Lonchura striata: one gene and its partners. The protein of the gene in region 1 interacts with the protein of each later gene in a pairwise test. Links are inferred from orthologs where the notes say so. Each region holds a gene or a part of one and is shown in the gene's direction. Other genes may lie near its edges. The genes, in order: NECAB2, NEK6 and CCDC146.

Region 1 (5,574 bases):
ACTTTTTCCTCAACTAGAGACTTCAGCCTCACGGCAACTAGGGGATAGCCCTGAGTAATACAGCCCAGTACAAATGGTTGGCTTCTTCCTAACGTCTGAATGGCAGAATTTATTTCTATCTTGATCTGTTTAGTAGGAAAAATGAGTATTTAAATGCCACAGAGCTGGTTTTGACATTACCAAGAACTGTTTTTGACAAAAGCACAGAAATAGCCCCAAACTTCAAATCCAAGTAATGAATCTTCATGGCAAATAGAAAGGAAATTTCAAAGAACCTTATTTCTATATTTATTCACTCAGTAGTTTTAATTAGCAAGCATTTATAGTAATCCTAACCTGGGTGTGATCAATACAGTCTGAACCAGCCATTTAGTGGAGGAATGTCTAAAGGAGAAAGAAGAAGGTGAATAATCTGAGTAATTGTACAAGTACAAAAGAGCAGACTAGCTCTGACCGTGAGAGGCACAGGAGATTGGCACCAGCTCATGGCAAGGAGGGCAAGATGTGTCTTGGCTTGGCTGTGCTTTGCTGTGAGATGTGATTGGGAAATGAGTGATGGTTGGGTTGGACAGTGCTCTGAGCATCCCTGTGAAAGAGCACAGAGCCATTGAAGTGCTCCACAAGCCATCATAAACCCCTGAAATTCCTCAGATTTCCCCCATGAGTTTTGTATTGCTGGAGAAGGAAAGCTTGAAAGGCAAGAGTTTGGTGAAAGAGGGGCTCAGCCCTTGGGTGTCCTAACCTACTGCTAGGCTTCTCTGTGCCTCATTTGTTTAAGAGGCTTCTAAGAGCTTCCAGCTATTTTCCATGTACTTCAGCAGAAAGAGCTGGGCTCCCACTCGCTTTTCTTTGAGCAGCAGCTGAGAGGAAAATGCACATTCCCCACCTGTCACCTCAAACACAGAAAATTCACCCCAATTTACCTGAATAAAGAAGGGTTATTAGAAGAAGCTGCTAAATAATTCCTCCAGGTAGGCTTTTCTGAGGGTCTGGGTTCTGGTGAGCTGCAATGTATAAGCTCTGTTGAGAGAAACAATTGACTACTATTTATTTCACGGAAAGCAGTGGCTGGTCAGGCCCTTTGGAGCAATCCTGCTGCTGGCCAGGTAAGGACTCCCTGTGGGAAGTATGCAGTGTTTGCAGGGGTGCTGGCTCCTGTGACAGAGGTGTTCAAATCTGGGATATGGCCCTGGTAGATCATGAAGTCCTCTAGAGCTGCCTCTGAGGGGGTCTGGCTGCTGCATGTGGGAAAGGTTCTTTGGAGCCTATGGCTACTCCAGAACTCCAGGGAAACCTCCAAGTTTCTGAGTCTGAGCTCTGCTGCTTTGGTGTCTTTCTTTGAACTCAAATTGGGAGCACCTCCTCAGGTGTGGAGAGGAAAATGAAATTATCTTGTGCCATTTTGTCCAGAAGACTTATTGCCTCTACTGCAGGTCTAAATCTCGCTGATTTCGAAGCTGAAACTGAGCACAGGAGTATCTCAAAGAAATGTCCTCATAATACAGAATTACAGAGTCAGGGATATTTTCCATCCGAGCACTGTGCTTAGTGCTGTAGCCACAGATGCTGCAATACCACACCTGGAATTGCTGACTATTCATTGAATAGGGACTTTTTGGAGGAGGGATAGGGATTCAGGGACAAGTTTTATTTACTACCAACAAATTTATTCTCTTCTGCCCTCACAAAGAGCTGCTAAATCTGCTGTGAGTGTAGAGAGGCTGTGGAGGCGAGAGAACACGGTTTTAGTCTTTTTAGACATAAAACACCTAAAAAGGTGCTTTGTGTTGGAGCCGAGGGGGGCTGACCCACCCCCATCCCAAAACTCCCCCGCGGACCCGCCCGCTGCCCGCCGGGCGGTGTGGGAGGAGGAGGAGGAGGAGGAGGAGGAGGAGGAGGAGGAGGAGGGAGTCCCGGCGGCGGGATGAGGCCGGGCTGAGCGATGTGCGAGCAGGCAGCGCGGTACTGCCGGGCCGGGGTGCAGAAGCTGCTGCGGAAGCCGGCGCCGGCGCTGCGCGGGCTGGACGGGCTCCTGCGCTGGGCGGCCGGCAGGATGGGCGACAAGGGCCTCGCCGAGAGGGAGCTGCTCGCCCCGGGCGCCGCCGCCGCCCAGAGGAAGGGCACCTCCGTCATCCTCGATGTGAGTGCTCCCTGCATCCCGCATCCCGGCTCCTGCCTCGGGAGCGGGGATTTCCTCAGCTCCCGGCACTCCCTGGACCCGCCGGGCACGGGCTGAGCCCGGGTCCTGCGATCCCCAGCCGGGTGGGCGTGGGTGTCCCGCAGCCTCTTGCCCGTGTCCCGCACCCGCTGGAGCCCCTCGGGATCGCCTTTATTTCCCGGGTCCAGCATCTGCTGGAGCAGCCGAGCGAGCGGCTGCAGCCCGGTTCTCAGCCTCCCTGCATCCTGCACCCGCGAGCGGCTCGGCATCGGGGCTGTTCCTGGGCTCCTGCATCCCCAGCCGGCTGGGCACGGGATGCAGCCCAGGTCCTGCATCTCCCGGGCCGGCTGGGCACGGGATGCAGCCCAGGTCCTGCATCTCCCCGGGCCGGCTGGGCACGGGATGCAGCCCAGGTCCTGCATCTCCCGGGCTGGCTGGGTGTAAGAGTGCCCAGATTAACAACTTCTTTCCAGATCCTGTGTCCCTGGGCTGCCGAGGGTATGGGGTTGCAGCCCGGGTCTTGCCCCACTTGTCCCGGTGCTGCACATCCTAGTTTGTCGGGGTGGCCTAGGTCCCCGTCCCCCTGCTCTGCACTCTCTGGGACAGCTGGGAAAAAGGTGCACCTTGGTTCTGCATCATCTGGACCGGACCGGGCCGGGCATGGGGGGCAGTCTGGATGCTGCACTTCCTCTCCTGAGCCCTGAGCCTTTTTTTTACCGGATGGGGCATAGAGATGTAGCTTGTATCCTTCTCCTCGCCAGGACTCTGAACTCTCGGGCTGGTGCCCTGGGGTGCCCCATTTCCTGCACCCTCTGGACGGGCTAAGCATGGGGGTCCGCTGCAGGTTCTGCAGCCTTTTCCCAGGTCCTGCATCCCCTCTACCAGCTGGGATGAGGATGTACTGCAGGTCTTTAATCCTGGTTTGGGGGGCTGGTAGGGATGTGCTCAGTGCCTCGATTGCTGTATTTATAGACCTTCTGATTAGGGAGCTACCGAGGCTGCTTGCACTTAAATGAATTGGGAGAATGGGGTGGAATCAGCCAGAGTGCAAATGGTATAATTACAGTCTTTTGGCAGCATCCAGTAATTAAACACATGGATCTGGATCCTCTGTTTTGCTATCTCTTAGCTTAAAAAAAAAAAAAAAATAAAAAGGAAGTAATGAATGCAAAATAAACTACTGAAGCATTGGCTGTAGTAAAGGATAACTCATGCTCTTCTTAGAGGTAGGCTAGGCAGTAGTAGCTCTTCAAGGGAAGCCCTTACATTTTGTAAATAACTTGCTGAACCCGTAGGCATTGGCGTGGGCTGGAGAGTCTGAAACTAGTTCCATCTGTGAGCACCCTGAGATGAATGGCATTTTGGTTCCTTGAGGAAGCACTGTCTCTAGAGGGTTGCCAAAAGCAGCTCAGAGAGCAGGATGGATGGATGGATGATCCTGCCCGTAGAAGGGGCTGGCAGGTGGGCAGCTGCAGTCTGGGGGAGTGAGCTGCCAGGGAAACAAAGGACAAGTGCAACACACACCCCTATGTCTTTTCAGTTAACTTGTTCAGGGGAGAGTTCCTGGGGTTCTTTTTCTATTTTTTTTTAATTATTTTGGTTTGCTTTGGTTTTGGCTTGTTTTGTTTTTTTGTCTGCCCTGAGATTGCCAAAATTTTGCAATAATTTGGAATCTGAGTTTCAGAGCACAAATGCAATTAGGAAACAGCATAAAATTTATGTAAGAGGTTTCTTGAGTTAGGAGTGTTCTGCCACCAAAATGGTATCTTATGCATTCAATTTTACTCTATTTAAGTAATTTCACTTTGAGGTTTGAGCTTAGGAAAAGAGCCATGAACCTTCAGAATGGGAAATACAGTAGAGCATTGTATTCTTTCAGTGGGAAGTACAATAGAGCTGGGTGTGCAGCTCCTAATCATTCTTCCTTTTCACAATGGTACTGGGAGCCCTTTCTCACCTGCTGAAAGTAGAAATGGATTCTGGAAATGTAAGATTTGAGAGCTTAGGGGTTTTTTTCCCTCTTTCCTTAGAACTTGATTTTCTCCTTTTTCTCCAGGCACAATAGCAAAGCAAATTGAAGCTGTGGCTTCGCTGTAATGGGCTCTTCAAGTGCACTGCGAGACCCCCCTTTCACACAAAGGGTTTAAACAGGGAACACCTATTTAGCTTAATTTTCACACATTAGCATGAAAGTAACAAGCATCCCACTGGATGCTCAGCGATGATAACCTGTTTTCCATTTAACTCCTTCACATTTTTGCTGATGGATGTGCTGGGGAAGCAGTGAGTCCCAGCCATGCAGCAGTGTGGTTCTCCATGGGGGAGGATGAAGTAAAAGACCTGTACAATTTTGTTAGCTAACACGTTTCCATGAGCTGGTGTGCTGTGTAGGCAGTTTCTTGGGAGCTGGTGGAGGAGGGGAAAGCTTGGGCTTGGTTATGAGAGAAAATGGCTTTGACGCTAATAGTACCTTAGTCACTTCTTCCTCTTCTGGCTTTCTTTTAATTCATCCATCCCCAGTGTTCTTGTTCCGACTCCTCCATGAGGGTGTCTGGTGTGTCAGAACAAACTTCCCTGTGCTCTTTCCACCAAATAAACACAACTGTGCTGTTGTGGGACAAAACTGAGGGCTGAAGAGGAACAAAACACAACAAGGAGCTAAGATATCTTCTGCCATCAACCTCCTACTTAGAGGATCAATCTTAACTTTGGGCTGGCTTCAGTGCTTTTCTCTTACTTTGCTGCTGGCCTTTTAGGTAAAGGATTAAAAACACTGAGATTGAACAAGGGGTCTGTACCCATCCTGTGCCCACCCTCAGGTGCCTTCTCTGGGTCTGCTCCAGCTGCAAGAGCCCAAGGCTCAGGGCTGGCAGCATGTGCCACCTGCAGCAGGTATTCCCACTCACACCACAAGCTTTGGATGGACACAGGATATCCAATTCTTCCTGCACCCACAAGGACAAACCCCCTGTGTTAAAACCTGTCACAGAGCTGCTCCAATCCACAAGAGGAGATGGTCACATTTCCAGTCAAGAACAAATCCTCCATGTCGCAATGCTTATGAAAAGGAGGATATATTATATGGGTGTATATTCTCTGTGGGTAAGCCAATGTGAGATTGTATTTGCTATGTGAATGAGTGCATGTGCACACAGAGCTGAGGTGGATGGCCCTCGAGGTGTAGGAAATGTCTAGGCAAGTGTTGCTCTGTCTGGGAGCACTTCAGAGCTGGCTGATCTACTGTCCTTGCTCACCCCCTCCTGCCTTCCTGTGACTGCCAAAAGCCTGTATTGACAGCAGAGGTGTCAACTCCAGAGCACCTGAGGCCTGGTCAGTCACAGCAGCTACAGGGGAAGATGCTCCATCTAGTTCATGGCTCATCTCCTGCTTGGCATCTAAAATAAGGATCAGCCTCG
Region 2 (5,574 bases), on another chromosome or scaffold:
TAATTGAGGAAATTTAATTTTCTTTCTTAACTGAATTGCTGTTGATAATTTAAATTAATTCTGTCTGGTCTGTCTAATTTAACCATGAAAAACCTGGATCTTGGAGTTGTGCACAAGAATGTAGCAGATTTTTAAAAACAGCTTTACTGAATAGAAAGACGGTAACTTTTGGCAGCCTAACAATAGATACTTTTTGGTTGTTCTTTTGATGTAAAGCACTTAAGTTCTTCCACCTCAATCCACTGACATTCTTATTTTAAGAGAAAGAAATGCATTTTTGCAAATGGTACATCAACAGACTTTGGGAAAATTGAGTTTGGAGAAAAAGAATTGAATTAATTTTGTTTCTCTAAGCACTTTCCCATGTTTCAGATTTTGTACTGATAGATTGATGATATGATTTGCTTTAAAACCAGGTGGCCTCTTAGTTTCCATCTGTTGTGTCTATTGCTCTGTCTCTGGTGAGAAGCACTGCAGAGCTGTGCAGGCATCTGCACCCCGGAGAGAAACTCTGTGCCATCAGAAATGCTCCAGGAGGGAGAATCGGCTTTCACTGTCTCTTAAATGTATCAGAAACTCAAGCCCCTGGATCTTGTTTATACTCACCCAAAGTGAACACAGTGAATTTGTATTAGCTAGGTGTAAACAGCTTTATAACAAAGCCAAAGCTGAGCAACGTTTCCAGAAGAAACAGTTAAAATCTTCCCAAAGAACCACAGTTTCTGCTCTCTCTGGGTGCTGGAGGTGGCACTGCTTTAGCAAGAAGGTTTTCTTAAAAGTATGAGTTTCTATGGATAAAAGCCATGTGAGCAAAGATCTGCCATCATGTTTCTGCTTCTGTAAAACACAGGATTATTTTGAAGTATGTAAGTGGAGTCTGCTGGAAAAAGAGACTTATTCGAACCAAAATGTTTTGGGCAGCAGGTTCCCCACAGCTCTGGTGTAGGTGTAGGTGATGCAATCAGTCGAGAGAGAGGGGACAGAGCAGCAACACGCCAGGAGGGCTGCAGGCATTTCCTTGGAAGCCGCGTGTTCGGGAACATGGGGCAGAGAATGCAAGAATGCAGAGTGGGGCCTTTCCCGCTGCTCCGGGGAACGTGCACAGCAAATCCCCGGTGCTGCGGGGCAGGGCGGCACCGTGTGCCACCGCCTGCTGCAGGCAGCTGCAGCACACCTGCGGGGACTGGGGGACAGCGAGGCCAGGGCATGGGGCACCATGGGACACCATGGGACTCCATGGGACACCATGGGACACCATGGGGCACCATGGGGCACCATGGGACTCCATGGGACACCATGGACTCCATGGGGCACCATGGGACTCCATGGGACACCATGGGGCACCATGGGACTCCATGGGACACCATGGGACTCCATGGACTCCATGGGACACCATGGGACACCATGGGACACCATGGGACTCCATGGGACACCATGGGACTCCATGGGACACCATGGGACACCATGGGACTCCATGGGACACCATGGGGCACCATGGGACACCATGGGACACCATGGGGCACCATGGGACTCCATGGGACACCATGGGGCACCATGGGGCACCATGGGACTCCATGGGGCACCGGGGTGAAACCAGTCCTGTCCCGCAGGACAGGGCCCCGTGAGCACGGCCCCACGGCGGGTGCCCGGCCTTAGCCTGGGTGCACTGGGCTGCCCTTCCCCTTCCTGCTGGGACTGGCTCCTTGCTCACTGCTAGGGCACTTCAGCTCGTCTGCCCTATAGGAGTGATTAAAAAGAAGAAAAAACACTTTAAAGTAGGATTTTTACTAGCAAAGGGCTGTGTGGAAATGGTTTCAGCGGCAAAGGTGCTTTTGCTGGCACAGCGTGTTTCATTTGTGAGCTGCTCTGGGGCTCGCTGGTGTTAGCACTGTGCTGTGCCAGCACTGGGAGTTTCCAGTCGTACCAGCAAACATCTCCACGAAAGTCTGACAAAACTGACAACAGTTGACAAAATAGGAGCAATTGCCTTGGTCCCAGGCCCTGCCGCCGCACAGGGGCCATTGCTGAGACCCGCTCGTTTGGTTTGTGTTTATTGCCAAGGTCGTGTTCACTTGTGAAAAAAAAACATGTTGAATTTCAAGTTCAATTCAATTTATGCCGACTACTCATACATGACTTGAGCTGCAGATTGAGGATTTTCTATCCCAAAAGCTGGATAGATTTTGGAGCCAGACCCGTTCAGGCCGGTTGGTGCAGGAACTCGGCTGCGCCGCTCTTGAGGCTCGAGGCTGCGAAACGCCTGGGCCGGACCCGCGATGGGGTCCCGCTCCGAGCCGAGCGGTGCCGGCCGCCCTCCCGCAGCCCCGGCGGGAGGGGATCCCGGGCCCGGGGAGCCGGGGCGGGGAGAGTCGCGAGCGCCCCGTCCCGGGGGGCAGCGCCGCGGTGGCGGTGGCGGTGCCGGTGGCGGTGCCGGTGCCGGTGCCGGAGCCGGTGGCGGTGGCGGAGCCGGTGCCGGTGGCGGTGCCGGAGCCGGTGGCGGAGCCGGTGGCGGTGCCGGTGCCGGAGCCGGTGGCGGTGCCGGTGCCGGTGGCGGTGCCGGTGGAGCTGGAGCCGGTGCCGGTGGCGGTGGCGGTGCCGGTGCCGGTGCCGGTGGCGGTGCCGGTGCCGGAGCCCCGCGGCCGCTCCAGGTGCGGGTCGCAGGTGGCGCCGAGCGCGCACGCGCCGCCCCCGCGCGCGGCCCCCGCCCGGCCTGCGTGGCAGCGGCGGCGCGCGCGCCCGAGCGGCGGCGGCGCGTGCGCGGGAGCGCGGGGCGGGCGCGCGCGCGGCCAAGTTCCGTGCGGGACGCGGCGCCGCTCGCTCGGTCCTGCGGGGCTCCCGCGCCCCCGCGCCGGCACCGCCGCGCCTCCGCCGCGCCGCAGGTGAGCACACGGGGCCCCGCGCTCCGCCGGGCCGGGCCGGGGCTGTGCCCGCCCGCCGCGGGCCCCGGCTGGGCCGCGGGACCGAGCGAGGGGCGGCGGGGGGATCGAGCGGGCGCGCCGGCGGGGCCGGCGGGGGCCGTGAGGGAGCGGGGGCCCCGGGCGGCGGGGCTCGGGCGGGAGCGGGGAGCGGCCGGGAGCGGCGCCGGGCGGGTCAGCCCCGCTGCCGCCGGGCGGGCCGAGCGGCGGCCTTGCGACTTGAGCGAAGTTGGGACCGTGGTGCAAACACGAGCGTTTGCGCGCTCTGGTGTCGCTCGGAGGTCTGGGGAGGCTTGGGGGGTTTTTCCGTTCCAGCAGCTGTGCTCCGAGCTCACGCTCCCCGGAGGAGCCGTTCCCGGCCCCGCGCCCCCCCGAGCCCGGGATGTGCTCGTTCGTCTCCTCGCTGGGGCTCCCGGGCTTGGCGCAGAGAGCCCCGGGGTGTGCGGGAGGCCCCGAGACCCTGCCCGGCTGCCTCACGCTGGGGTCTCCTGACTCCGATCGTGGCGAGCCCCCGGTCCCGCTGCCTCTCCAGGGCGCGCTCTGCCGCGCTCTCTCCAAAGGAGGGAACCCCGCGGGAGCCCCCGTGCCGGAGGATTGCACATGGCTTTGGAGAGAGCACATGGTAGAGCTGCACTATCAAATACCATCTTTTCCCTCCAAAGTGTGATTTATGCTTGGTTAGAATAACGGTGACTTTCTGAGCCCATCTGTTTGTCTGCCTGTTCGCACACATGGAATAACTCTGCCCATGGTGATTGCCTATGGCATTATTGCAGAAGAAGTAGTTTGATAGGAAATATTGTAGCAATTAGAAGTCCAGTGATGCAAGTTCCTGACACGTTGTGACTGTCTTGCTGTCAGTTCTGTGTCTCCTTTAAAAGTTCATTTTCTATGAATCACTGTAAGCAACCATTTAACTTCTGCAGCATTTCTACAGCTTTTACATTTGAGACATCTCTTGACATTGAGTCAAACTCTTTCCACTGTTTTTTTTTTTCCTGTAGACATTCTTTGTGACAGTCATATTCTGTTAAGCAACAACAGAAAAAAAGAAGGAACTGCTTTTAGATAAGACTGTTGCTGCCTGTTTCCTCTGGCTCTGTCTCGTAGAGATCTAAAAAAATGGGAGCTGTGAGAAACTTTTATTATGGTGGAAAAAGAGCGTCTTCTGTGGGAAGTGAGATTCTGGATGGAGTGTGAGTGACTGCTGTCACCCCAAAGGAGTTGTCAGAGTGGAACCAAACTTTTGCTTTCTTAACACCTGTGATATATAAACTGCTTCTGCTTGATTAATTTCCCCCTCCTTCCTCTGGAATTCTGTCTCTTGACAAATAGGTATTTTGTGAGAGAGGATGGATGCATAATTGGAATGTTTTTAGATACCTTTTCAAATTCTTCACTGTTCATTTTGTTGGGAGAAAACCAGATGAAGATGAATAACTTGAACCCCAAACCTGTATTGGGAAACAGGTTTTTTTGCAGTACTTGCCCTCTATGATCCTGCCTGAAAAGTTTTATGTCAGTCTATAACACTGAATTATACATTGAAAATACTGAGCCTACACTGGCTTTTTCTCTTTTCTTGCGATTATTGAGGCTGTACTGGAGAAAATAGAGATTCTGAGGCTTCTCATGCAGCGTGTTTTTGGGCTTTATTCACACCTACCTGTTGGTCTGAAAGGTTCTTGCAATGGCTTGAAAGGTTTTTGTGTATTGAAGGAGCTGTTGTTTACCTGGAGTAAAATGAGTATTTTTGTTTGAAGGGGGGTAGGAGCCAGAAATGCCCATGTGGGTTTTTCTCCTGCTCTGCCTCTGCTCTCTTAGCTGTAAAATGGGGGTGGTTACCAACAAGTTCCCTTCCTGAGCACCTGCAGCTTTCTAGATGTGTAAAGGATTAATTAGTGGATATATTTTAGCATCTTTTCTTCCTTTATGTGGTGCAAAATATATTTGACCTCAAGGCTGTGAAAAATGTATAACAACAATCAGCCTGGCAGAACAGACCAACCCCTGTGGCTGCAGCAGCCAACAGCTGGGGCAGGTGGGAGAAATCAAATGTATTCAGTCTGAATTTAAAGCAAGAAAAAAAGGAACTGTGGCTGGAGGAGCAGAGGAAGTACTTGCAGGAAGATTTCAAAAACAAAATGACAGAAGTGGAAATCTGGGCCTTGTAGGACATTTGCTTTGTCCTAAATGAAAGCTTAGATGGGTCCTTAGGGAAAATGAATTTAATAGCCCAACTTGGGCTTTAGTTTTTGTCATTCTGACTTGCTTTCCTTAGAGGTTCTTGTTGCAAAGGAGGTTGCTTATGGTAATCTTCAGCAATGAGAACAGTAAGTACGTGGAACCTCATTTTAGAAGCTGGGCTCACCTTCACCACTGAGCAAACCTGTTTCTAATTGCAACTTCCACAGTTTTACTGCAGCTCAGCACTTGTATAGAGAGAGTGGTCTTGATGCTTTGTATGGTCTGAGCACAGAATTAAGGTTCGGGAAGTCATGAATGGCCATTCTGCCCATGACACACACTCCTGCATTTGTCTTGGAAACTCACTGAACCAGTCTGTTTTACCTTTTATGGCAGGTGGTGACTAACCCAATGTACACCTCCCCAGGTGTTTTCTGGGGTGTTTGTAGGAAATTATGTGTTATGTGTCGTT
Region 3 (5,574 bases), on another chromosome or scaffold:
CACCCTGAAACTGTTTCCATGCACAAAGGGACACTCAGCAGAGAGATCCACTGAGGAGTTGAGCTGTATCAGGCTCTGAGAATCCTGTGATGAAAACAGTTGACAGCTAAGAGAATGCCTAGATGAAATATCATTTACATTTGTTCTATTCCTACTCTTCTCTGAGCATCTGTTTATGACCAGAGACAGGGCAGTGGCTGCTGGAGTCATGGTAGGAGTCAGTACAACAATTCTGACAGAGCAAAGCACACTGAGGGCATGAAGGGAGAGATTATATGCACAAATATTCTGTAATTAGTTACAAAATACTTGTGCATATATTAGTTGCTAGGAAACAAAACAGACCCTAAGCTGTGATAAGTGTATTTAAGAAACATCCCTTCAGTTATAAGGAGTGTTTAAAAAAATTAAATTATAGGGATGAGTAAGACTGGAAAATGTGAGAATGATGTTATGCCAAACCCATAGGACTTCTCCATTTTGAATTATATACAGTTCAGAAAACAGGAAAAAAAAAAAAAAACATTGTAGAATTTTCCCTAAGACACAGGGTGGGAAAAAAAGAAAGGTAAGATAAAAGGTGCAGAATATCTTTGCTGTATGTAACATCATATTTGGCAAAAGTTATAAATTAAATATATGAAGAGTAAGTAGGGTGGGATTATTCATAGTTTCTCGTATCACAACAGCAGCAGGGCATTAAAAGAAATAAAGCAGCCGTCTTTAATAACTTTAAGAAAACAACACACCATGTGCATTGTGCATCAAAAAGTTTTTCCAGCATGATGAAACATTCTGCACTGTATAGGAAATTGCCCAAATCCATAGGAAAATAAACCAAAACCACATTAATGACTGAACACAAATCTCCAAGTTTGTACTCCCTAAACTCAGGGCCACTGTCAGAACTTCACTGTCAGATTAGTAGAGATGTTTATTGGTTTAGCTACTCTCACAAATTGTGTTGCATAGAAGAAACCCTGCACAGATAATAACCCTGTGCCCAAAAGATAATGCAACGACTGAACTGAGCAAGGGAGCCCTTCTGGGTATTTAATCTGCACCGTTACCTTGCAGGCTTTTTTGACCGGCAGCCAGCCAGCGAGCACGGCTGGGAGGGAGCGGGAGGCTGCCGCGGCGCCGCGGGACCGGCGCTGGGAGCAGGCGCGCCCGGTCCGCCGGGGATGCGCTCCGGAGCCCGGGCCGGGGAGCAGCGGCGGAGCACCGGCGGCAGCGCACGCTCCGAGCGCCGCTCACCAGCTCCAGTTCAGCGCGAACCACCGGCGGCAAAAGGGCCAGCAACAAATCGCGTGCCCAAAACGCAGGAAGCGCAGGCACACGGCAAACAGCTTCAGAACGGGGCGTCTGAATTAGCGAGGGCGCTCTGCCGCTCCCCACAGCGCCGTCAGCCGAAGCGCCTGCCCAGCCCAGCCCAGCCCCGGTGGGGTCCCCGCGATCCGTGCGCCTCCCCCGCACCCACCGAACTTCACCGGCGTCCGGACGTCCACGGCGGCCTTGCTGTCCACGCCGTCCGCCACGATCGCCACCTGCCCCAGCGCCTCGTCGTGCTCCACCCGCACCGGGTCCCGCTCCCGCCCGGGGCTGCCGCCGCTCACGGCCACCAGCACCCGGTCCGCGCCCGGGCAGCGCTGCGGGTCCAGCGGGCGGACGCTCACCTGGCACGGCAGCCGCACCCGCAGCCGCCCCCGCGGGCTCACCGACAGTGCCCACTCCCGCGGCGGGGGCGGACCGGGGCCGCTGCGACCGCGCCGGGGGACGGGCGGCGCCCACTGCCCGCCCGCCGCTCGCACGGCCAGGGCCGCCCAGCGCGGGGGCAGCGCCCTCATTGCCGCCGGCAGGGCGAGAGCGCCCGGGAGCCGCGTCAGGAGAGCCCGGGACGGGACGGGACGAGGCCGCTCCCGGCGGGCGGCCGTGACCCCCGGCCGGTCACGTGGCGGGGCTGCCCGCGGGGAGCGGCACCGGCACGGCCGGTAAACAGGCTGTGGCTCCGCCGCGGAGCCTCCTGGGAGCCGTAGTTCTACAGCGCGCGGAAGGAACTACAGCCGTGCCCGCGGGCCTATCGGAGAGCGGGGAGGGCGGGGCATTGCAGAGAGTCTGCTGCTATTGGGCGGCGGGGCTGGACACGGAGCCAATCGGGAGCGGGGGCGGTGAGGCGGGCGGGAGGCCGCGCGCGGGTCGCCATAGCGACGGGGACGCCGCTCGGCCGGGCCGGGCCGGGCGCTGCGGCGGCCGGGGGGAGTCGAGGGGACCGGGACCGCGACCGGGACCGGGCCGGGGCCGGGTGAGGCAAAGCAAAGCAAAGCAAAGTCGCGGCTCCGACGTCTAGGCGGGAAGTAAGTCGAGGGCGCCGCCACAGCCGTGTTTGAGGAGGCCCTGAGGGTCCGGAGTGCGGTCCCTGGGCGGGGCCCGGGCGGGGCCGTGTCGCGCGTGAGGCGCCCCGAGCGGCCGGGCCTTCGGGGCGCCGCAGCCTACAGCGAGCCCGCGGCTGCTGAAATGTCCTCGGTCAGCCGGGGTAGAAGCAGTTGGGCAGATGTGTTGGAAAACTAACACATCTGTTGGCTCTGTTGGTTGGTTTTTTGAAGTGGTATCACAAAGCACCGTAATTGCTCTCTGTCACTAAATTTTGGTCAATGTGTTAGGTGTTGTACTGCTTTTTAGCGGTTCTGAAGACAAGCAAATATTTTCCTGAGTTCTGTGCAAATACACCATGAGACAATTGTCGTTACAGGGTTTATGAACAAGTAGGGAAGCACTTAATTAAAAGTTTAAAAGACTCTTCTGGACTTCATACCCCACGTTATCATCGTATAACAATTTTTAAAAATTAGGTGGGGCATGTGGGCAATAGATGAGGTACAATCTGGCTTAATTCTTGTAATAGTTGTTGTTTACTGCCAATAATGAGAGGGAAAAATGCACAGAAAGCTGCATTGTCTTAGCAAGATTGCAAAACAAGAAATAATGAAATCTGGGCCTGTTACTTAATTTCTGTCTCCCTTTTGCACTCCATGTGTTTCTTTTTCATAAATAACCATGAAGGCATGATACTTAGTCATCAAATACTTTTCATCTCATTAGCCCTATTTCCATTTCTGTGATTGTCTGGCTTTGATTATTTATGAATATTAAATGACATCTCAGTGTCCAACAAGAAGGAAGATTGCTCTGTTTTTTCAGTCTATCAGTAATTTTCACTGTGGAAAGTTTAATGAAGGTTCATATTCACCAATAAAGCCCATCAAGGTAAATTATTGCATTGGTTTACATTACTCAGTCTCAAAACACCCTTAGGCTAAACACACAAAGGGCTAGCCTGTTTTATGATAGTCTACTACACAAAAATTGAATTCTAGAAAGCTAAAAAAGTGTCAAGAAATATCTTGGGACGTGACAGAGGCTAGAAGTTTGTTTTTTTTTTCCCAAGTCTTCAGAAATAGTCGATTTTGGGGAAAAAAAAAGCTACAAAATTCTCACCCTTGAGACCAATACCAAATTTGGATGTCAGATTGTTTGTCAGGGGGAAAGTTAAAGATATGTAAGAAGTGTGTTGCAATGTGCTATGACTCCACTAGATGACAGCCAGTTCAGCAAATAACTCTGTGGTCCGCTCCTGGGTGACTCCGCGGGGCTCACTGCTGCCTCCCTTTCCCTCTGGGTCAGTGCTGCTGCCCTTGATCCTTGACTCCCACCTCCTCTGGAACGATAGTGCTGCTTTCCCACAGCCCCCTCCTCCTCCAGGAGCTTGGTATTTGCTGCTCCTCACAAAGGCAGAGGCTTATCAGCAGTAAACTGCATCACCTTTAATATTGTCAGGCTTTGCATGGTTGAGAAGTTAGTTCAAGAAACCGTTCCAAGATGTTTAAGCCTCAATTATGTTTATATTTCACTGTTGCTGTTGGGTTTTCTCATTTGATACAGTCTAAGCATGCATGGTTAAAAATACTGAACAAAACAGAGAAAAAGTAATTGCTGGGAAGAAGTTCTTTCTCCATACATATGAAATCTCATGTGTTTAATGTTTTACTTATGTCATCTATATTTTTTGCTATATGAATTCTGTTTAACTTTCATGCTTTTGTTTGGATCAAGTGGTAGGTATAGCATGTAGCATGCTACACTAGGGAAAGAATATTTATTTATTTATTTGTTTTTGTCTTTCATTTTTTGACTTGTCATTTGCAGGAAAAGAAAGTTACATTAAATTTATAAGTGAAAATATAATTAGAACTCTTTTGATAGCTGCATGATTTCTTAGTGAATTACAATCCTTATTTGCCATTTTGCCAGATATTGATGGTGTATGCCAAATAATATTCAGTATTTTATGCAAAAGATCAAAAAACTCTAGAACTCATAGAAGTTCTCTAAGGTGATACAAAGTAGATTTTAAGCCAAAGCATTATCAGATGCACTTTTAGGCTGAGGTGAGGGAGACATTTCAAGGAAAGAGGAATTAAATAAGAAGTATTTACAGGAGAGGCTGTAGAAGGAATACATTTTTCCAACTTTTGTATTTGGAATTTATCACAGAACAACTACAAACTGCTGCAGGTACCCACAGAGTATAACCTTAGTCTGCCTGGACAAGATTAACTTTACTCATTTGCTCTAATTTTAATGAAGAAATAATGTGACTTTACTTAGGAAAATAGGGCCACCTTTATTTGTATTTGTTTTTTTTTTTTTTAGTGGTGCATTTCTGAAATGCTTCCTTGAATCTTCTTAGTTCTCAATGTGTGTCTAGAGCTCAGTAGTTAGGCAAATTATGTTTTGTTTGTTTCCTCCTCTGTACTTTAGCATTGCACAGCATGCAATAGTTTGGATTACAGGGATTTTCTTGTTTGTCACGCTACCAGAAATTTTCTGAGGAAAGTAAGTTCCTCATGGAAACCATGTGAAATGGGAAGTGAAATGGAAGTAAATCTTACCATTCGAATTCTCCTTATCTTAGCCATATCTAATTAGAACTCCAGCAGATGAAGTCTGTGTGTGGCTTAGGGTGGTCCTATCCCAAATAGCAGAGATTTAAAAACAAAGGAAAACAGCAGAACTTGTGACAGGAGTTGTTGAGCAGTTTAGGTAGAAATTGTTAACAGTTTATGTTGTGCTCTCATTTTGCCAAAGTGAGGTTGTGCAGTCTAATCAAACAATCCATTCTGATTCACATGCCTTTGATAATGTCCTATTGTACATGGTGTAGTTTTAAATTCAAGCATCATTTAATGTTGGCATGGTTTTGTTGTTTAAAGACACATCTGTTCATGCTGAAGCACAGGTTCTGCCTGTTTAAAACAGAAGGTCTTCTACTTTAACATTAGGGAAAAAGCATTAAAAAATGTAGGGGGAGGAAAGAGGATCACTGTGTGATAGAATAAATCTGTGGTGCTCCTGTTACTATCTGTAGGTCTCATCCCTTCTCTTTGAAGAGGATATGGTAAAACTGAAAAGGTTTTGGAGAAGGATGAGGACAGTGGAAGGCAGAGAAGGGCTTTCATGCCAGCGACAGCAGGTGGATTGTCTGCTTCAGCCTAGAAAAAGAATTGTCAAATGATG

What was found.
Region 2: the proteins of NECAB2 (region 1) and NEK6 interact in binary tests that used the Homo sapiens proteins (3 or more experiments, as listed by UniProt). The link is inferred for Lonchura striata from reciprocal best matches to the Homo sapiens genes NECAB2 and NEK6.
Region 3: the proteins of NECAB2 (region 1) and CCDC146 interact in binary tests that used the Homo sapiens proteins (3 or more experiments, as listed by UniProt). The two-hybrid records come from large-scale screens. The link is inferred for Lonchura striata from reciprocal best matches to the Homo sapiens genes NECAB2 and CCDC146.

The regions. Positions count from the first base shown.
Region 1 is NC_134615.1:15,039,411-15,044,984, forward strand, and holds the start of NECAB2 (N-terminal EF-hand calcium-binding protein 2), read left to right. Parts: upstream 1-1,889; 5' UTR 1,890-1,942; coding exon 1,943-2,140; intron 2,141-5,574. UniProt on the Homo sapiens protein: May act as a signaling scaffold protein that senses intracellular calcium.
Region 2 is NC_134624.1:10,404,493-10,410,066, forward strand, and holds the start of NEK6 (serine/threonine-protein kinase Nek6), read left to right. Parts: upstream 1-2,785; 5' UTR 2,786-2,879; intron 2,880-5,574. UniProt on the Homo sapiens protein: Protein kinase which plays an important role in mitotic cell cycle progression. Required for chromosome segregation at metaphase-anaphase transition, robust mitotic spindle formation and cytokinesis.
Region 3 is NC_134607.1:61,080,933-61,086,506, forward strand, and holds the start of CCDC146 (coiled-coil domain-containing protein 146), read left to right. Parts: upstream 1-2,227; 5' UTR 2,228-2,354; intron 2,355-5,574. Other genes in the region: protein FAM185A, read right to left, coding at 1,481-1,847. UniProt on the Homo sapiens protein: Essential for sperm flagellum biogenesis and male fertility.